Tamandua tetradactyla: one gene and its partners. The protein of the gene in region 1 interacts with the protein of each later gene in a pairwise test. Links are inferred from orthologs where the notes say so. Each region holds a gene or a part of one and is shown in the gene's direction. Other genes may lie near its edges.

Region 1 (7,080 bases):
ACGTCAATTCCAATTATGCATTCTGGAACTGGAGAAATAACTACAGAATGGGTCCAGGGGCCCAATGGACCCACTGGGAGGTGGACCTGAGCTAAAACTCCATCGATGACCTGACCTCCATAAGCCTGGACCTGAGTGACATTTTGGCTCTCCTGGAACTAGTGTCACTTCTGAGTCAGTGTCTAATAGTCCCCGACATAGTTGATCATATCCTTTTCCCCAGTGCACAATGACCCTGGTAAAAGGTCTTAGGTCTCCTTGGGGAAGGCTGAGAGGAAGGTTAACTATACAAATTTGGGGCAGTGTAAAATGGTGCTTCCCCAAGGGTACCTGGCCCTCCCCTCCTTCAAGGAGCTCTGGGTCTGTAAACTGTCTCAAATTTGGGAATTGATTAAAACGACCGTGACTCACTGTTTTTGTAATCCAAGTTAGACTTCTGTTCATTTGACTTAGAATTTTGCTTTTATAGCTCAAATAAGAATTTAGTAGACAGCCCATCTATTTTACTTCTAGTTATTCCATGATCTTCCAGCCAACGCCACACGTCTCTGCGAGTCAGATTATTCTGACTGCTGCCTTGAGTCTGCTGTCCGTTCTGATAGCCACATTCACCTTGTCTTTGGCGATTAACTGTTGCCACCTGGCTTCTGCCAACTCAGGATCTGATCATCCGCATGGTGTTTAAGGATGCCAGCTCAGTGACAGCAGTTCCCACAGTAGTATCTGAACTACAGAGAAGGGTGACTACAGAGATGACGGATTTATTCTCAAGGTCTGGTGAAAGGTGTGTCCTCTGGACATTCCTGGAGTGTGTGAGCAGGTCTTCCATGATAAATCCACTCTAAATTCCAATCTCTCTAGCCTCTGGATCACCTCATCTATATTATATCAGGGCAGTTCTGGCATTTCGACCTCAGGTAATATTGGCCACCTTTGGATCCATGTTTCACTCAACCATCCAAACAAACTGTTAATGCCCCTTCTAACCCCTAGAGCTACAATACTGAATGTAGAATCTCTGCTTAGTGGGCCCATATCAATTAATTCAGCTTCATACAACTTTATATTCCTTCCATCATTATCCCACACCCTTAATAGCCATTCCCACACATATTCCCCTGAATTTCTATCTATATAGATTAAAAAACTCATGCAGCTCCTTTGGAGATAGCTTACTTCCTCATGGTCACACTTTGTACCTCACCTTTTAGGGCCTGTTGGGACTTCAGTCTAGTTATAGGTCTTGAAGAAAAGGAAGATGGTTGGGGTGGGTCATGAAAAGATGTAGAAGTATCTTTCAAGCCAACCACCTCAGGGCATTCCACTATAGTTTCTTCTGGTGAAACGGGACCAATTGCTCCAGACAGAGAAGTGAGAGCTATTTCCCTAGGGGAGGTGGTTACAGGGTTAGCAGGCACTGAAAGGTTAATCCCTTTAAGTGGAGATTGGATGGCAGACTCCTCTGGGCAGATCGGAAACTGGGAAGCTGTTTCCTCAAGGCAGTCCATTGCAGGTCTATCTAGCAAAGGCTCAGCAGATTCCAGGGATCCCATCTCCCCATCACCATCATTTTATCAAGCCATATATCCCCATACCACGTTTCAGAATCCCATTCTTTCCCAATCAAAGCCTTTAAGGGCAGACACCCTGCAAGGTTGAAATTTTACTTTATGTTATAAATCTGCTACTCTAACAATGAAGCTCTGTGTCTGGTTTTCAGAGATGTCAAGCTTGTGACCACAGGAAATAAGATTTTCTTTTAGGGCACACATAGAAACTTTTACATAGTTCATATGGGACTTAGGTTTCAAATTTGAAGCCTTCAGCTCATCCCTTTCGCTCACCAACGTATCCAGTATATCAAATAACAACCAACCAACATCATAGCTCTTAATTCGACAAAACTCTGAAAAGGTGTCAAAAACACTCTCACCCTGAGCCTTTCCTTGCATAAGTGTACAATTAACAGAATCTAATGGTGATATTTTGCGTATCTCTCTTGCCAGCTCACCCCATAGACTGTCAGTGCCATCTTGATTATTTGTGCCTAACAGAAAACCAATTGTTAAAATCCATTTTTAAGATTCTGTTTTTCAAGAATCACTCCCCGTACCAAGCTTTATTAGTCAGGGCTCCCTAGAAAAAGAGAACCAAGAGGAGACATCTGTAAATATGAGATTTATAAAGGTGTCTCATATGACCATAGGAACAGAAGAGTCAAAAATCAGTAGGCAGTCTCTCTCTCAGCCAACACGACAAGCAAACTCACTGCCCTCTCCCTCTCTAAGTGGGACATGACTCCCAGGGGTGTGGACCTTCCTGGCAACGTGGGACAGAGATCCTGGAATGAGCTGGGAATCAGCATCAAGGGATTGAGAAAACCTTCCGGACGGAAAGGGGATGAGCAAAATGAGACAAAATAAAGTGTCAATGGCTGAGAGATTCCAAGCAGAGTCGAGAGGTTATCCTGGAGGTTATTCTTACGCATTAAACAGATATCACCTTTTTAGTTAAGGTGCAATGGAGAGGCTGGAGGGAACTGCCTGAAAATGTAGAGCTGTGTTCCAGTAGTTATGTTTCTTGAAGATGATTGTATAATGATATAGCTTTCGCAATGTGACTGTGTAACTGTGAAAACCTTGTGTCTGATGCTCCTTTTATCTACCTTGTCAACAAAGGAGTAGAACATATGGAATAAAAATAAATAATAGGGAGAACAAATGCTAAAGTAAATTTAGTTTAAATGCTAGTGATCAATGAAAGCAAGGGGTAAGGGGTATGGTAGGTATAATCTTTTTTTTTTCTTTCCTGTGTTCCTTTTATTTCTTTTTCTATTGTCTTTTTATTTATTTTTCTGAATTAATGCAAATGTTCTAAGAAATAATGAATATGCAACTAAGTGATGATATTGTGAATTACTGATTATGTATGTTGTTTTATTTTTGCTTCTTTATTTTTTTAAATTAATAAATAATTTTTTTTTAAAAAGATGCATAATGTTTCATCCGTTGAGCGTAGCGTTCCATACTTTCCTTACTTACGGACAGTTAGGGTGGGGTATCTTGCCGCAAACTGCTGCAGTGCACAACCTCATTACCTTTTTTTGGGCTAGGGGTGGGGTTACAGGTTACAGGTTTTGAACATCATTTAACTCTTGACAATCTCCCTTTCCCGCGAAACGTGCACGCCCGCTCCCCAACCCCCCAGCCTCCGAGTCCCCCAGCATCAGCACCGCCCAATCCAAAAGGCTGTCCCCGCCTCCATCACTCCAGCACACCCCCTTTGCTGTCGATCCCCCACCCCCACATTTCTTCGCCTGCGGACCTTTGCCCGGTCTCCTGCCTCTCCGCGCGCTGCCCCCTCCCGAGGCTAGCTGGTGGCACGCGTCGCATCGCTGGACCATGCCGACTCAACTCGCCGCAGCGAATGCAATTTGGCACGTTGGCACTCACTGTCCTTACCCTAGCTTCGATTTGGGACGTTGGCACGTACTGTCCCGAGCAGGTTTCCAGAAAGGTGAACCCCGGGTGATGTGTCATTTTCCCTTTTCCATCCCTTCTCGCCCACAGCGCTAGGCGGCGCGGGTAGTTGGCTCTGGGTGAGTACTAGCAATCAAAGTGACGCTGAAGTCTCGTGCTGAGGCTTAGTTAAATCTCTGAAAGTTAATAAAGTACAAAACAGTTTGCACCGGGTGCAGGTGTGATCGGGATTAGGTGGATATGATTATAATAGCAACAGCACACATTCAACAAGCGCTCGTTGCGCACTTACTATTATTCGCTGCGGTGACCAAAAGACAGTGAAAGCAATAAAGTGTAAATATAGTATGTCAGGTGGTGACTTGAGCTAAGGAGAAGAATCAAGCAGGAAGGAGCATTGAAAGTGAGAAATGACGCAGAGATGGGGCGCCCGCCCACCCTCCGAGTCTCCGCCTCTTGGGCCTCTAGCCTCTAGTAAGGACAGGGTTAATGCCGGCCTCGGCTGCGGCGGCCGGGATGTGCGCAGGCGCAGAGCACGGTTTGCGCCTGCGCAGAGCGCAAGGCGACGTGGCTGGACCGAACCCCGGAAGTGGCCCCTGTGGAACAACCGCGGGACCGCTGCTCCGAGCCCTGCCAGGCCCGCGTAGTATTTATTGCTGCGTTGCGCCCCCGTCGGCATCGCCATGCTGAAGAAATTCGACAAGAAGGACGAGGAGTCGGGTGAGGGACCCCAGGCCTGGGTTTGAGGGAGGCCGGACCTCCACGCAAGCCCCCAGGACCCTCCCTGGGAATCCTCTTTAAGGTGCCTCTGACCTGAGCTAGAGGCCGAGGCCCAGTGAGGGGTTGGGGCTTGTGCGAAGATCCAAGACTGGACGGTGGCAGGCCTCGGGGACCGAGCATCCTTCAAGAGACCCCTTCCCCTCGTAAGCTCGGACCGCTACTCGCCGGGTGACCTTGGACAAGTCACGCTCTTCTCTGGGCCTCAGTTTTCCCATCTGTCAGAGGAGAGAGTCGGGCTGGCTACTCCCTTGCTACTTTCTTCGTCCAATCTCTCTGAATTTGCCGGCGCTGCGTTGATGCTTGTCCAAGCTAGGGCATGGTCAGCGGAGTCAGTGTGCTGTGAACCCTAATTCCATTCATTCATTTGTTCAACAAACATATTGAGCGCTTACTGTATGCAACGCTTTGTACAGTCCTGATACAGTCCTAGAACAAGGTAGACAGTTGTCCCCTGGGCTGGACACATTAGAATGGAATAAACAAGACAGTCACAGGTCTAGTAGAGGAGAAGAACATCAATCAGATAATCATACACATGATTAATTACTGAGATGACATCTGCTATTAAGGAAACCTAGTAATGGGACGGTTAGCCCCTGGCACGTAGTAGGGACTCAAATAGTACGGGGCTGCATAAATGAATGCAAAAAGTGACATACACCATGAGAGGCACAGAAGAAGGGCTGTACCAGCAGGGCTGCTAGATGACTGTAAGTGGTTTGGGATAGAGTGGATTCCCCTTGTAGCAGAGTAGTAGGATCTATGGACAGATTGTAGAGCCTTAATTGCATTCATGAGAACTTTGAAGTTTACCAGGTAGCCAGTAAAGAAATCTTTCCCTTTCCTCTGTCTCTGAGAGTTTTAAATTCAGAAATAGAACCAGTATTCATTCTTCTCCATTACTGATTGTAGGTGGAGGCTCCAACCCATTCCAACACCTTGAGAAGAGTACAGTACTTCAGGAGGCAAGTGTCATTTGTTCCCCTTTATCTTACATCATAAATGTTCATGGTTGAGAAGATGAAAATATGAACACATTCAGACAGCTGATTTAGAGAACTATGAGGGAGAAAACCAGTGCCTGGAAAAGCAGAAAAACTTTTGTTCTCAAAGAGAATTCATTAAGCCTACGTTTTTGTTGATGATATTGGTTGTTTCTTCTTTGAGTTAACAAGTGATTACTAAGTATTTGCTGGTTAGTAGGTTGGCCCATCTCTAACTAATATTTAGGGAAGATTTCAGAAGTTGATTTTAGATGGATTGAGGGAAAAACCTCTTCCTTTATGAAAATAAGCTTGTCAAGACAGGTGTATTGATTTACCTTAGGACCTGCCAGAACCTTGAATGTGCTTGAGAATTGTCAGTGGAAGGGATAGAAGATAATAGTCTTGGTCACTTCTTCTCAGGCACGTGTATTTAATGAAACTCCCATCAACCCTCGAAAATGTGCCCACATCCTCACCAAGATCCTTTACCTCATAAACCAGGTAATAGGGTGAACCTGGGAGTGCAAAAAAAAATGGTGCTGGGGGAGGTTTGGGAGAGGGATATATGAATTATCACACACTTAGGTGATTTGACAGCTTTTGGTCCTGCTTTGGGTCTCCCGGAGCATCCAATCCTGTTGTGTTGCCTTTGATGGCACCTCTGCGGGGTCCAAAGAGCTGGCATGGGGTGATGTGACGAAAAAAAAGCCATCTGGCCCCTCCTTCCTAGGCTAAGGCTTCTTTCTTTTTTACCACAGGGGGAGCATCTGGGCACCACTGAAGCAACCGAAGCCTTCTTTGCTATGACCAAGCTCTTTCAGTCCAATGATGTAAGTACCCTGGCCCCAGTTTTTCTTGAGGGGGAGCAGCTTATAAGAAGGTGGTGGGAATAGAAAAAAAAATAGGAGGAATAAAGGTTAAAATCTGTTGAGTAGATGGAAATACTAGTGGTCAATTAGAGGGAGGGGTAAGGGGCATGGTATATGTGAGTTTTTTTTTTTTCTTTTTATTTCTTTTTCTGAAGTGATACAAATGTTCTGAAAAATGATCATGGTAATGAATATACTGCTATGTGATGATATTATGAGCCATTGATTGTATATCATACTAAGAATGTATGTTAAGAATGTTCATGTTTGTATGTTGTTTTGGTTTGATAATACAAAATAAATTAAAAAAAAAAAAAAAAAGATGATGGGAGGACCAAGGAAAGCTGGCTTTGCCAGGCACTGTGGGCTGCCTTTGAGAGATCAGGGTTTTTTTTTTCCTAACTCTGGCCCTCATGGTGAGCCAGGGATGATAGGGCTTTTCTCATCTCTCACAGCCCACACTCCGTCGGATGTGCTATCTGACTATCAAGGAAATGTCTTGCATCGCAGAGGATGTCATCATTGTCACCAGCAGGCAAGTTGTTGGTGCTGTGGGTGGTTCTTCCGATGGGTTCCATGGACACAGAGGACATTTTTCCTCTTATGTGTACCAGAGTATGAGACTTTTGGTTGGCATAGTCATCTGGCACTCTTGCCCATTCTGTCTGCCTCATCCTCCAGTTACTGGTGCCAACCCCATGGTGGCCTGCAGGGTATGCTGTTTCCCTTTTAATTATCTGGCTTTAACTTGGACACAAACCTCTTCCTCCCTTTGAAGTACACAGAGCCAGAAGAAGCAAGAATAGCAGGAGAACATGGGTTGGGAGATGTTTATAGTAGTCCAGGCAAGCGTGATAACCTTGGACCTAGAGAGGAGTAGAAGAAGGGTGTGGGTTCAGGGGAGCAGGCCTGTAACTGAGGCGGGGCAGGGCAGGCTCCCTGTGTGTTGAGCACCCCGTCTCCCCC
Region 2 (6,979 bases), on another chromosome or scaffold:
CTAAAATCCTTAAAAACCTTGAACCCCCCCTAAAGTTGGGGAGACAGATTTTGGGCTGCTAGGCCGTCTGCTCTCCTTCTACGTGCATGGAGATAAATTCTTTCTCTGAAAAAAAAAAAGCTCCCCAGGTGATTCTTACTGCAACCACAGTAGAAAATCACTAGCTTAGAGCTAAAGGTGGGTAAAAAGAAACAGCAGTGGTTACTGTAGAAGTACAGACTGGAATCATCACCTGTTTTTTTAGTATGTATTATTTCTGGATCCTAAAATGCTCTCTCTCCTTAACCTATACAGTGAAAATGCCTCCTTGTTCATTCATATCTCGATTCAACATTTTGTGAAGCTGAGTTCAGCTGTCCTCTGTCCCCAGTAACATGGGTCCTTTTCTTTGGATAATTTTCAGTGCAGCTGAGGAGGTGCCGTTGTACTGGTGAAAGCTTTGCCTCCCCTTCTTTCAATTTATGTTCTCCAATTGAAATGATAATGCTAATACTGTCTCCTCTTCTGCTTTGCAAAGCAGAAGTGGGTGTTTGGGACTCATACATCCATGGGTGGAAGAAGTGGGTGTTTGGGACTCGTATCTGGGTTAAAAAATCTAGCGCTGCCACCTACTAGTTGGACCATCCTGGGCAAAATGGAGATAGTATATATTCACAAAGCTTCAAAATTAGCTCGTGTGTATAAAGCCACGTGCACCTGGGTAGAGCTGAGTGTGAAGTCCCTTTTTTGAACAACTCTTTCTCTCTATTTACCCTGCAAAACTATCCCAGATAAAGCCAAATGCATTGAGGAAATTAGTCCGGTCCTTAGAATGGTCTACAGGAAGCCCATCCTGCAGGCAGGGCACAGAAGCTTTAGTTTCCTCAGAAGGATGCCACAGCATACCCATCCCAGCCTCATTCTACACATGCCTCCCCCTCTTGACATACAGCAGGAAGGATGGGAAGAGGCTGTCACCCCAGGGAGCTGTTTCTTCTTGTCACACAAGAACAGATGCTGAAATCCTAGGACAGTACAAAATGTGGCAACAGGAGGGGGAGTTGGAGGAAACAGAGTGGTCTCACCTCCAAGCTGGACCAAGGCCCAGAACCGAATCCCATTTGAGTCAAGGCCCCCCGGAAACTGCGCAAGGCAGGGTGTGTGTGCTTTCAGGACCAGTTCCGAGCGCAACTACTCTACAGACTCCAGCCACTTAGAGATGCACCCAACCGCACCGTGAAGGGGCCACAGAGAGCAAAGAAGCATGAAGGCTGCATTCCTTCTGAACCCAGCTTTGCTTCCTCATTCTGGGTAGGCTGCCCAGCTGCTTCTCTTCTACTCTGCTTGTATGCTTCTCAAGTGCTGCTGGCCTTAGACCATGGAGTCCTCCGGGGCGATGCTTTGTGGAAAACGCCATCCTGACGCCCTGCACGCTTAGCTTGCATTTCAACATAGAACGCAGTTAAAGGTGCACCTCCGGCTGGAGGAGCTCATGAAAAGAAAGGAGTCCTGGGGTCTCGGTGGAGACCGAATCTCTTGAAAAGCTGAACTTCAGGGCTCTCAATTTACTGAACTAGCCCTGCACTTGAGAAGTAAACAGAGCCGTATAACCATGGCAACAACAGTGGTGGTGAGGATTCAATGCCTCATGCACTTCCTTCGCCAACGTCCACTCTTACCCCCGGAGCACCTCCCCAGTGCCTTCGCATCCACACCCCCTGGATTTAGCTCTCCTTGGGGAACCACACCAGCTCCTGAAGACCCCTGCCTTCCCAGATCTTCCCCCCTCCCTTCAGAAGGCTGGTCCTCTTCTGCGACAGGTATCACGTGCCAAGCAGAAAAACGCCCCTGGAGGCTTTTTTGTTACTATCTGAAACATGAACTAAAAATTTGTAAATATGAAACTAAAAATTGGCTAGCTCAAAGAAATGTGAGGGCATTGAAATAATCAAATCAGTATTTCTTATGATATTCCCCATGACTAATGACAGTGACTTCTGAGGATCTGGAATCAAAACAAATAAAAAGCCCAATCCTGGGTCCTCTTTCCCCCAGTTGTACCAAATTGTGTTGACTAATGCTCACTATTATAACTCTGACAGCCTGCAACGGAGATTTGGATGTGCCTTCCAAATCGTTGTAGAAAGCGGTTCAGCCAAAGTTTCTTCAGATGTCTACACAGCTCACCCCCTCACCGTCTTCAGACCTCTATGCACCTCTTAGAAGCCCTCTCAAAAGCCCCTACTGAAAATGGTGTTGCCCGGCTTCTCCCAGCCCCCACCCTTCCTGATCTCCATTCTGGCTCTATTTTTCTTAATAGCACTTATCATCAACTGATGTAATATCTGATTTACTTGTTTATTCTTTTTTATTTGCCTTACAAAGAAATGGATGCACACATGCACACTCACACACACACTTGAACATACTCTCCATGAGAGTAAGGATTTTGTTTATTTTACTACTGTGTCCCAGTGCCTAGAAGAGTATCTGGTAGTACATTAGTGAGCACTCTGTAAATATTTGTTCAGTGTATAAAGTATGATTTCATTAAGTACATTTTAATTATTTGTTTAAATAGGTAGTCTGTGAATATTTATACACAATCTCCCTTATCCGGAAATCACGTGTTCATGTATTTACTCAATTACACAAAGTCCACCCCATTTACACAAATGCTTGCTAAGTAACCTGTCGTGTGCCAGGCCCTGTGACAGGTACTAGGGATCTGTGAGTGAACGGGACAGCCATGTGCTCCAAGTCTGGTGGGTTTCCACTGGTAAAAAGTAAAAATAATATTTAGCAATCGAGGAAAATACGATGAAAAATAAGTAGGGCGCAGAGACAGAAAGCATGACAGGAGAGACCTGTCATATTAGGTACAGTGGTTGTCAGGAAGGGACATCTAAGTTGAGACTTGAAGGTAAGAAGGCTTGATGCCATTTGGCAAAGGAAAGCCCCATTTCCCAGTCACCTGCGATGCGCTCCCTGTGTGGCACAATGTGAGAGGCCTTGGAGAGAAGAAAGGGGAAGACATTTGAAATCTAAAACTTGGGTTTCCACTCCCACTCAACTACTAGTTTTAGAATCTTGAAAAAGTCACACAAACTCTGTCACCTTCTGATCTATAAAATGGGGATAATACCTAGCTCACATGTGTGGGTTATATCAGGTCATGGATGTGAAAGTGTTTAAACGTAAAATGCACGTATGACGTTGTTACAGGTAAACGGATAGGTACCATTCAGCAGCGAAAAGCCTACTGGTGGGCTCTTGTCTTCTGGTGTATTTCTACCAAAGAAACCAAAGTGAATTGCAAAGCCTGATGCCCTTGGAGGAGTATCTGTGCTGCTAGGCATGTGTCTTGGTTCAGATAGTGCCACTTCTTGGGAGACATCCTGGGAGGTGTCCCGGGGCCAAGGCTGCCTTCCCCCCAAACTGGAAGAGAGGCGGGAGCTTCTTCCCCACAGAAGACTATCCCCAGAGCAGCCTGGTCTGCTCTCACTGCTAGAACCTGCCCCGAAGACCAGAAGGGTGACCTGGTATGTTCGTACGGATGGTGCCTGCTCTAGTTTGCTGGCTGCCAGAATGCAATAGATCAGAAATGACTCGCTTTTAAAAAAGGAAATTTAATAAGTTGCTAGTTTACAGTTCTAAGGCTGAGAAAATGTCCCAATTAAAACAAGTCTATAGAAATTTAAGGCATCCAGGGAAAGATACCTTGGTTCAAGAAGGCCGATGATGTTCAATGTTTCTCTCAGCTGAAAGGGCACATGGTGCACATGGCAGCGTCTGCTGGCTTTCTTGTGGCTCTACCAAAAAGGACTCTCTCCAAAATGTTTCCTCTTTTAAAGGATTCCAGTAAGCAACTCTACCTTCAATGAGCAGAGACACACCTCCATGGAAAACATCTAATCAAAAGTTACCACCCACAACTGGGTGGGTCACATCTCCATGGGAACAATCAAAATGCTCCCACCCAGCAATACTGAATGAGGATTTAAGGACATGGCTTTTCTGGGGTCCACCATAGACTCAAACCAGCACAGTACCAAAGTACCTAAGAGCGGTCAAGAGACAAAACTGGACGTTGCCTGTGTTTTCTGCTGGCCTCAGGGCAGTCTGAGGATTCCCCACAGGCGCCCAGAGGAGGTAGGAAGAAGGGGTGGACCTGGGGCAAAGGAGGATGCGGAGAGTTCAAGGCGCGAGAAAATGGAAAGGAGCCCAGGAGAGAGGGAAATGAGAGATGGGGGAAGGAGAGCTGGAGTGTAGGGTGCAGGGCGGGGAGGGCGGGACAGGAGAGGAAGGAGAGCGAGCAGGAGGTAAGGGCCGTGGGGAAAAGGAAAGACAAGCACAGGAGATGGGCGCGAGGCCTGCGGCGGCCGGGCAGCTAGCGGGCGGTGGCCTCCGGGGGGCGGCCCCGCGGGCAGGGCCGGCCGGGCGGGGGCGGAGGCGGGCCGGCAGGCGGGCGGCGCTGTCAGTGCGAGGCGGCGAGCGGAATGCAGCGACCGGAGGCCTGGCCACGTCCGCACCCGGGGGAGGGGGCCGCGGCGGCCCAGACCCGGGGCCCGGCGCCGCCCGCAGGAGCCGCGGAGCCCACGGGGCTGCGGGTATGGAAAGCGTGGGCGCCCGGGAGCCCGGACGCTGGGAGCGGAGCTCAGGGAGGAGGGAGCGCAGCCACCTCCCAACTCGCGCGCCCCGCGGCCAGGAACTTTGTGCCACTGCTGACCAGCCCCTGGCAGGGCCCGGGCCGAGGGCAGGGGAGAAAAAGTCCGCCGGGTGCGGACTCGCGAGGAGGCCAGTCCTGAGCCCCGCCGGGCTCAAGTTCTGGATCAGTTTGGGGGGAGTGATGAGAGGGAGGGTGGAGGTGGACAGGGGTTCCTCTGGGAGGAGGTAAGAGTGGCCTGAGCGCCCCAGGCTCCCGTCCGCGTGAGCCGACTGGCGTGCTTCTGGAGCCCACCCGGGCCAGAGCCTGGAGGCAGGCACCAATCCAGCCTCGGTCCGGGGTCATCTGGAAGGAGGAGGCTCGGCGCCACTGTCCACCCGGCCCAGGTTCTGTGATACACTTGGACTCGGGCTCTGGAGCAGTCAGTGCATGACAGAACTTGGGCCCGGATGGACCTTCTGCACACGTCGGGTGCGGCGCCACCCGGGGCCTGCAGTGAAACACCTGCCTGGAGTAGAGCAGCCCCGGAGTTGGCCCATATGGGGGGGTTGGGCCCGACCCTCTGTGGACCTTTGGGGCTGGAGTCGCTGGAGCCTGAGGATGTACCCTGGAGCCAGCAGATCCCATAGAGCCAACAATAGCATGTCCACCTTGAGAGCTGTTGCTTCAGAGACCAATGGAGTTCCCCTCTCCCTTGTCAGTTGCAGGAACCTTCTCTCTACACCATCAAGGCTATTTTCATCCTGGATAATGATGGGAACAGGCTACTGGCCAAGGTAAACCGGCACCCTAGCCCAGAGGCTGACACCAGAAGGACCTGGGAGACACACAGTGCTGCAGCACTGGGAACAGAGGTTCTCACCCAGCTGACTCTCCTATCTCAGGAGAAACTCCACTGGTGACCTCTGCGATTTGGAGGAGCTCAAGGAGCTCAGCTTAGACTTCTCCAGAGGACCTGCTGTTCATCCTCCTGCCTTGTCAGGCTGCTGAGTCCTATCCCGAGGGAGGGTTTCCTATGGTTCTACTCATGTTGCCTGAAACGTCTTTCCATCGTCCTTCCCACTGGCCGGCTGGGCCCTGGGTATAGGAAGGGACCTCCTACAGGGTCAGTGGAGTGTTGGACCTGGGATCTGGAAATCTTGGCCCCCAAACTTTAAACAAGCAACCTCCACTTTTCTTCTACAGCTTGGTGAACACAATTGTGGGTGTCTAAGAATTTTTAGCCAGGCAGGATTTTAGAGACCATATTAGTCCAACTCTCACATTTTACAGCTGAAGAAAATGAGATCTAGAGAAATGTGCCTGAGTTCACGATCTGTTAATATCAGGAGCTATGAACTGCAGTTTTTTTACTTGAATCTCGGGATGGTTTTCACCCCACCCCAGTTCAACTAGGTGGTCTCCATCCTATTGAACATGGCCTGGGTAAAAAAACTAGAATGATCCAAAAATAAATTTCTATGGTGGAGATAACTATAGCAGGGCTATAGCGTCTAAACTAGTTATGAATGTGTGTTAGATTTCATTGTTGTGGTTTGGGCTGAAAATTTGTCTTGTAATTTTTTTTTTTTTTGCCTTCATGACATTCAGATGAGCTTCTCCCCTGCTGCAGTGGCCAGCAGGGAGAATGCCAATTTGCCTGGAGATTGAGCACTAAATAGCAAGATCCACACGCACAGAAGGGAGAGCTGGCCACGCTTTGCCTCTGTGTCTGAGGTGGATCATCAGTGCCAAAGGCTCCAGGGCCTTGCTCCAGCATGAAACATCCATGTCACAGATTAAAAAACTGAGTCAGAGAGGCTCACAGAACCCAAACATAAAGACATTGGTCTAGTTATACAGAATGTGCCTGGAACGTTTCCCTAGTTTTTGTGGGGTTTTTTGTTTTGTTTTGTTTTGAGGTGTGTGGTCCAGGAATCAAACCTGGGTCTCCTGCATGGCAGAGGAGAGTTCTACCACTGAGCTACCCTTGCACTGCCCTTCCTTAGCTATTTCATCTTCACCCTAGCCCTGTCTGGAGTCAGACTGTCCTTCGTGTTGAATCTCAGCTCTGCCCTTTACAAGCCACAAGGAAATTTGGGGGAAGCTCCCTGACTTTGCACCCCAGTTCCCCCAACTAAATAATGGGGGTAAAAGTGTTCTTGTAATGGAAGTTGTTGTTTATGATTGCCCTGGCCATAAGGAAGGACTCCGGCTCTGCCCTCTTTTCTATAGGTTCAGGTCAGTGTAGAAACAGTGGCCCAGCGACCACCCTGGTCCTTAACACGCTGCATATCTGGGGAGTGCATCCAGGAGGGGACCCCAAAAGGAGGCCTCAAAACTCCTCTCCTTTTT
Region 3 (7,796 bases), on another chromosome or scaffold:
GGTTGATTACAAATGGAATCAGCTGTGGATGAAGCTGACATGATTGTGATTTAATTCTATGAAATGTCCTCATAACAACAGACAAGTCAGCACTCGCCCAAAGAGATGAACAGGTACCACCACTTGGCCAAAATGACACGTGAACCTGACCATGACAGTGGTATATGGAAACTCTGTATTTTATGCATGATTTTTTTTTGTAAACCTAGAAATTATCTAATAAAAAATAGAACAAAAACTAAGAGGTCTAGATGATCCTATCGGCTGATCAAAATAGTTGACTACTTTGAAAGCCCAATGTTACAAGTAGAAGGTTGCTTGGTGAACAAATGGAATTAGTTGATTAATTTTAATGGCTGGCAGAGCTGAATCCACCACCTTTATAAAGATATAAGATATTCATTTGTGTTAGTGGAAGAATAGGGAATCTTTTCCCCTAAAGTTCACTTGAGAAATAATGACAAACTTATTTTGGGGAGGTGGGAGGGATTCTATGTAGACCATCCCCCTACAATCCATCTATAGAGACAAGGTCTGAATTGATTAAGTAGGATTTCAGAACCAAGGTACAATTCAATGGATTGGGTTTCTGTTCCAGCCAAGTTAATATAATTGATTCTGTTTATATGCACCTCAGCTATTTTATTATAATTGATTGGGTTAGAGCTTGATTGTGTTATGGCTCCAGCCATTTTACTTTAAGAGATTAGGCGAGGTAGAGCTTTGGCTATGTTGATGAAATTACGCTTTCCTGAAACTACATCAAGACTTTTGCTACTTCTACAAACAGTTGATTCTATCCATCACACTTTGACTTCTAATTTCACTTGTGACACATAATCTTTTGGGGAGTTTTTTTTTACTGTCACTGTTTTGTGTGCACTTGAACATAAAGAACTGTGGTGTCTCCCTAGTTAGTCTTTATGCCTTTCACTTGTCCTCTTCTCATCCTACCTGCACACGTGCAGTCAAATTAATGATCTTAAAATTGCTTCCATAAACTCATGTTTCTGCTCAGAAGTGTTCAATTATGTTCAGTTATTTATAAAATAATAAGTAAATACTAAGCATTTAACAGTTTACACACATTTTCTCAAACATTATCTCATTTAATCCTCCCAACTTTATCCCCATTTTATGATAGTCCCTTTTTCATTTATTAGTTTTAAATTGCTTGTTGTAACAAAGTCCTACAGGAACAACATATATAAAGAAAATCTATTGAATAATCCACTCTTTCCATCTCATCCTCTCAGGGTAACCTATGTTAATATTTTTCTTCCATATTTTCCTATATTTTCTCTTTGTCTGGAATGCTCTTCCCCCAAATATCCACATGGCTCATTCTCTAACTTTTTTTAGGTGTCTTATCAAATGTACCCTTCTTAGTAAGGTCTTCTGGGACCATCTTATTGAACCTCTTGCCTCTCCTTCACATCTCACTGTGAAAGGTACCACTCCATATTGTGCAACATAATGGGATCACTCCCGGTTTTCCTTTTTAGTTTTAATTTTTTTCCATAAACCTTATCACCACCTAACTCTTATATAGGTTACTTATTTCTTCGGTTTATTCTCTGCTTCCGCTGCCTAACTACAATGCAAATGCTACAAGGGCAGAGGTACCTGATTGTTTTGTTCACTGCTATAACCCCAGTGCCCAAAGCCAATGCCTGGCACATGGCTGGCATTTGATAAACATTTATTGAAAACATATACAAAGATATTTATGATAGAGTCTTAAAGTTTTTAAATGAAAAAAATAATCAGTTACCCCAACTATTTTGATCAATAGGATTGTCTAGACCACTTAGGTTTTTTTTTTAATTTTTTTGTTAGAGAATTTGTAGGTTTACAGGAAAATAATGCATAAAACACAAAGTTCCCACATACCACCCTATTATTAATACCATGCATTAGTATTGCGACAAATTGTAGCATTTGCTACAATTCATGCAATAACATTTTTATAACTCTTCAATTAACTATAGCCTATTGTTTACAATAGGGTTCACCATGCCATGTTGTCCTATGTGGTTTTTTTTTTCATTTTTATTCTAGTAATATATATAAAACCTAAAATTTCCCCTTTTAACCACGTTCAAATACAGAATTCAATGACGTTAATGATATTCACAATGTCGTGCTGCCATCACCACCATCCATTACCAAAATTTCCATCAACCAAGTTCTGGGGTACCTGATCAAGTTAGCTGGAATACTATGAATGCAGCATCTCAGGTAAAGATTCAGGTGGATATAAGGAAGAAGTGGGCTGAAGTAAACATCACTCAGGAAGAAGGGAGAGGAAACTGAGGTAGGAGAAAATGTGACAAAGGGAAGATTTTCTTTCACATATAACTCCCTCAACTTACCACTATTCATAGACCCTTTGTTAAAAGAGTTCTCTAAGGGATGTGAGGGTAGCTCAGTGGTAGAATTCTCGCCTGCCATGCGGGAGGCCCCATTCGATTCCTGGCCCATGCACTCCCCAAACAAATAAGCAAACAAACAAAAAACCAAACAAAAGCAAAAATTCAACAAATGGTGGTGCAATGAACGGATACTCATATGGAAAAAGAATGAAATGTGACCCCTGCCTTACAGCACACAAATTAAAAAAAGAGTTTCCTATCATCTCTTACTCCTTTACCTCCAAGTAAGCTCCTTTCTAAATAGGTGTAGGAAGGTATCTAAAAATTTCTAAAAACTAGTATCTACCTCATCTGATACCTTATCTGTTAACTGGTTAACTGCCTACAATAAAAAATATCTTATTAAAAACTACCTGGATTTTAAGATTTTTACCTAGATACTCCCCTCTCTGCTCCTTATCACCATCTTTCTGTCCAAACCCCAATATTCAAGCCTAAGCATCCCTGATTGGGCTCATAGTTGGTCAACTGTTTCCCTTCCCATTTTATATGTAGTATCTAATCTGAGTTGTCCCAAAACCTTGGTGGAAAGATCGTCAAGTTGGAGTCTTCTGCTGTGAAATTATTTAGACTGTGCCTCTCCATACTCTTTTCTCAAAGAGGTTGCAGGTTGAGTTACAGATTACAACAAAGAGAGCTCAATTCCAACCTCATCAACTGAAGCCTTGGGGGTGGATCTATGTTTCCTTAAACTATAAGCGTCCAGTTTGAGACTCTGAAGTTCACAGATAATGGACCTTCATGTTTTGTGTCCAGGGCTTAGCATCTCTGCAATTTTAAAGGGACAAGGTGATAAATCAAGTCAGCTCAATCAGGTATAAAAGAAGTAATTTCTCACACGCCAGTCCCTCAATTCCAGATGACTTTCTCTGCCATTTTTCAATTTATATTTGAGACCTGGATTGTTGAGCTTTGTCACTTGGGACTTCATCAGAAAATCATTTACCTTCCTCTTGTTTTTGTTTTTGTTTTTGTTTTTTTATTAGAGAAGTTTTGCTTTACAGAAAAATCATGCAGAAAATACAGGGTTCCTCTATAACCCACTCACGCACATAGCTTTCCTTATTATAAACATTTTGCATTAGTGTGGTACCTTTGTTACAATTGATGAAACATTATTATACTTATAACTATAGACCACAGTTTACATTAATTCACTCTTTGTGTTGTATAGTCCTATGGTTTTTAAAAATTGTTATTCTAGTAACATTTATACAACGTAAAATTTCTCCTTTTTAACCACATTCAAATACATAATTCAGCGATGTTATTGTGCTACCATCACCAGCATCTATTACCAAAACTTTTCCATTGTTTATTTTACTTCTCTCTTACGCCCTCTGACTCTACTCTGAAACTATGAAAAAAAAACTCTTGGGTTGGTTTGGACCTTTTCTTGGAGGGATCCTAAAGACAAAGTTGTCTGAGATGGGAAATATAAATTCCTGTAGGGATAATATAAGGCAATGAGAGGTGCCGAACTACGGGGGTCAGGCACCAAGGAACCAAGGGTTGGGGAAAGCAAACTTGATCAAAACCCTGCCCCATTGTGAAATCTCTGCACTTAGTAAACTTCTCTTTTCTCGTTTTGCAACGGCTTGTCCCTACTGGAAAACCGCAGACACTGCTCCCTGTACCCTCCCTCCCTTGTCCTGGTCCTTTACAAACCCTTTACCCCTCCTATTTTTCTCCTTTCAGGCGTCTAAAGCTCTAACGTCTCATTTCACATCTGACCAAAGGAAACTGTTAATAGAGAAATTCACTGGCTTCTTTTCCTTCCCTGGGTCCTGCAAAGCCTGGGACTCCAACTTAGAGAGATCTTTACCGTGGCGGCCTTGGTTCTTCTAGTTAAAACGCGAGGCATCTAGTGTAGTGGCTCCACTTTGTGGTTGTACAGACTTCCTTTGAGGATGCTTAAATAGCTGACCAAGCCTGGAGGGTGTCAGGCATAGCTGCTCCAGCAACCCGAAGTAACATGGACCTAGGGTGGGCTCTTGGTATAGTGATTAGGATAGGATTCTGTCACCGGCTGCCAGTGCTAAGGGCCAAAAGGTCATAGCGCCCCCTACAGGCAGTGCTGATTAAAGTTACTTAGGCGAGTCGACGGTATCACGTACGCTCTACTCTACCAATCGAAAATTAATAATCGCTTCCTCTGTTCCCCATGGAAACAACCCCGCCCCTGTCACTCTATGCCTCATTCCCTGGAGCGAATTTGGCTTTTTATTGAGTATTCAAGCTGACAATCAAATATCTGAGTTTTCTGGTTGGATATCTTACTTCCGTTGAGAAAGCTAGTACATTGATTGGTCAGTAAGGCAATTCTGGCGTCTGGTGTCCAATGACCCTTATCCTAGGGGGCTGCTTAATGGAGACGTAGAGCCAATCAGCGGCTGCGTTCTTTTTGCGGCTCCACGTCGGCACCAGCTGCGGGGCAAGATGGAGGCGCTGATTTTGGTAGGAGTCGGAGGGGCAGGCGAGATGCTGAGATGTCCATAGGGGCCGGAGTCGGGTTCAGCTCGACTGGAGGGAGGAGAGGGGGCAATTCTGGGTAATCCTCGGGGACCGGAGGTTCTGCTGGCCCTCGGAATAAGCGTGTGGCCTAGCACAGGAGCTAAAGCCTCGGACCGGAGTAGGAAGCCCTGCCGGGGAGAAAGAGGGTCATAGAGTCGGTGAAAAGTTGAAGGGAGCACATGGAGTCCGAGGATACATAGAATTATAAGCGTGCAGGGTTGGGGGCTTCTTTAGATTTTCCCTAATTCTTTACATTGTGGGTGATCTCCTGATCTGAGTTTCCTTAAATATCTAAATTCGCCCCAAATTGTAGGATTAGAGTTTTCTCATCACAAGTTGTGAGTTTGATGGCTATGAGTTTGACATTCCTTGCCGTATTCCTTCAAAAACCGTTTTTCTCCCTACTTCGGTTTCCCGTTAATTCCTGTTATGTCTGTCTGTCTTGATGAAGAGTAAGTTTATTCCACTGAAGTTCTGGAATAGCTCATAGAGTTAGTTTGGATTGTAGAATATTTTTTCCAGATTCTTTATTCTGTTCTCCTTTTTCCCTCCTCATTTAGACTTTTGGAATTCTTACTGTAGGATCTGCGATGCTGACTCTCTCCCTGGATACATGAGAATTGTAGTGGTTAAAGGGGCATGTTAGCCCGTTTTTAATTCATAACATCCATTTTAGTTGTTCAAACCAGTAAAATACCTATTACTCCTTTTGACTGGACCTAAGCATTTCTCTCAAAAATATCCTGTCTTCAATTTGGAAATATATATATATGAATATGAATTTATGATATGATATGAATTTAGTTCCTGGCCTCCTTCCTTGAGTTGAACTCTAGAAAGCTTTCCGGGAGACTTTTCTTTTCCTCCGACTTTATGCACATCCGTATCCAGATCCTCATCATCACGTAGAAGAGACTAACAGGTTTCAGTTTTCCCCTCCTTCAAAACTGGCAAAGGTGGAGATAATTCCTAGATTGTTCAAATCTAGGTAGAAAGCTTAAAATCCAGGTACTTTTAAATATATTTTTAGTAGCAGGCAGTTAACCAGTATCCTTAACCAATTAACAGATAGGATAGATAGATGCTAGGGAATTGGTTTCTTTGGAAGTTTTTAGAAATTTGTAGATACCTTCCTTACATGTTTAGAGGGACCCTGCTTGGCAGTAAAGGAGCAAGAGAAATGATAGTTAGGGTGCCCTTTTAGCAAAGGGTTTATGAATAGTGGTGAATTGAGGGAGTTATATGTGAAAGTCTTCCCTTTGTCACATTTTCTCACACCTCAGTTTCCTCTCCCTTCTTCCTAAGGGACATTTGTTCCAACTCACTTCTTCCTTATATCCACTTGAATCTGTACCTAAGATGCTGCATTCATGGTGTTAGAGCTAACTTGATCAGGTACCCCAGAACTTTGCTTTAAAAATCATACTGAAGTAATCAATGCCTAATGAGTAGGGAGTTTTTGTGTAGGTTGATGGACATTTTGGTAATGGATGGTGGTGATCGCAGCATGACATGGTGAATGTGACTATTACCACTGAAGTGTGTACTTGAAAGTGCTTAAAATGGGAAATTTTATGTTGTATATATGTTACCATAGTAATAATATAATCCTCATGCTTTTTTTTTTATCCTGAGGGACCAATGTAATTATGTTAAATGGGAAATCAAAGTACGAGAAAACTTTGGTTCAACAGGATAAAGATCTAAGGTGAGATACAGTGAGTCCACATTCTTTTCACAGTGAAGATGATGACCTAAGAATTGTGCTTAAGGAAGCACAATATCAAAACTAGGATTAGATTGGATTTATTCAACCTCTAAGATCACATCCCTCTATGATGTTACCAAGATTCTCTCACCATGGGCTTTCTCCGTCCTCTGTATGCAAAATTGTCCTTTCAAACATCACCAACAGATATTAATCCCTGTACTGGTCTCCAGAGATTTTAAGATATTAAATTAGTATTATCTTTCCTTTGGGTTAACTCTTTTCAACATTTTTTGCTCTTTACATACAGTTATTTGGGGCTCTCAATTAAGAATTTAAACACTTTTCTTCACTTTTCCAGCTTTCTCAACTGGAGTTCCATGAGCCTTAATGCCCTAAGGCATCCATTGTAATGAATCAGTCTCTATCCACTGCATCCAGAATGCCATTCATTATGAACCCTCCATTGGGGGAAGTGAGAAAATGGTCACTTAAATAATTTTCTGTGTTATGTAGTTCTGATGAGGAACTTTTGTTGAGAATCAGGTAATATTTCCTAAATCTCTATTCTCTCCTCATTATTGTTACACACTGGTCTACCAAAATTAGCTCCATTTGATTGAGAATCAAACTTCCTTACAGTACCTTTTTTAAATCTCATCCTCTCTTCTGTCTATTCTCAGCCATATCTCCTGATTCTTAGGTCATCATCTTCATTGTGAAAACAATGTAGACTCTCTGTATCTCACCTTAGATCTTTATCCTGTTGAACCAAAGTTTACTGTACCAGCTGAGTGTTTAACAGGCCACTCCCTAGAGAGGGCAAACTCCTTTCAGAGTAACTTTCCTTTTCCTCCTTTCACATTTCTGTTTCCTGGTTTGGCTGGACCTCTGGGGAAATCTGATCAGAAAATATTCTTCTGTCCTCACTCACCTTGACATAGCACACAGTTGTAGAAGAAGTAAAGAGTTGAGAAGAAGGAAAGCGTAAACTAGAGGTGATCAAGTGGAACTATTGATCAAAGTTGGCTCTGATTATGAGAATTTCTTAATCCCAATAGGTTCCCTTCACTTAGGTATGTTAGAATGGGTCACATTTCTTTCCTGAATTAAGTAATCCAGCTCTAGCTTTCAAACAG

The links.
Region 2: the proteins of COPG1 (region 1) and COPZ2 interact in a two-hybrid assay, tested with the Homo sapiens proteins (2 studies listed by BioGRID). The link is inferred for Tamandua tetradactyla from reciprocal best matches to the Homo sapiens genes COPG1 and COPZ2.
Region 3: the proteins of COPG1 (region 1) and COPZ1 interact in a two-hybrid assay, tested with the Homo sapiens proteins (2 studies listed by BioGRID). The link is inferred for Tamandua tetradactyla from reciprocal best matches to the Homo sapiens genes COPG1 and COPZ1.

The regions. Positions count from the first base shown.
Region 1 is NC_135335.1:31,965,121-31,972,200, reverse strand, and holds the start of COPG1 (coatomer subunit gamma-1), read left to right. Parts: upstream 1-4,036; 5' UTR 4,037-4,162; coding exon 4,163-4,199; intron 4,200-5,171; coding exon 5,172-5,224; intron 5,225-5,665; coding exon 5,666-5,746; intron 5,747-6,003; coding exon 6,004-6,075; intron 6,076-6,569; coding exon 6,570-6,649; intron 6,650-7,080. UniProt on the Homo sapiens protein: The coatomer is a cytosolic protein complex that binds to dilysine motifs and reversibly associates with Golgi non-clathrin-coated vesicles, which further mediate biosynthetic protein transport from the ER, via the Golgi up to the trans Golgi network.
Region 2 is NC_135332.1:29,313,689-29,320,667, reverse strand, and holds the start of COPZ2 (coatomer subunit zeta-2), read left to right. Parts: upstream 1-3,978; 5' UTR 3,979-3,987; coding exon 3,988-4,131; intron 4,132-4,478; coding exon of another isoform or gene 4,479-4,589; intron 4,590-5,346; coding exon 5,347-5,421; intron 5,422-6,979. UniProt on the Homo sapiens protein: The coatomer is a cytosolic protein complex that binds to dilysine motifs and reversibly associates with Golgi non-clathrin-coated vesicles, which further mediate biosynthetic protein transport from the ER, via the Golgi up to the trans Golgi network.
Region 3 is NC_135333.1:115,696,853-115,704,648, forward strand, and holds the start of COPZ1 (coatomer subunit zeta-1), read left to right. Parts: upstream 1-4,778; 5' UTR 4,779-4,874; coding exon 4,875-4,892; exon of another isoform or gene 4,893-5,520; intron 5,521-7,796. UniProt on the Homo sapiens protein: The coatomer is a cytosolic protein complex that binds to dilysine motifs and reversibly associates with Golgi non-clathrin-coated vesicles, which further mediate biosynthetic protein transport from the ER, via the Golgi up to the trans Golgi network.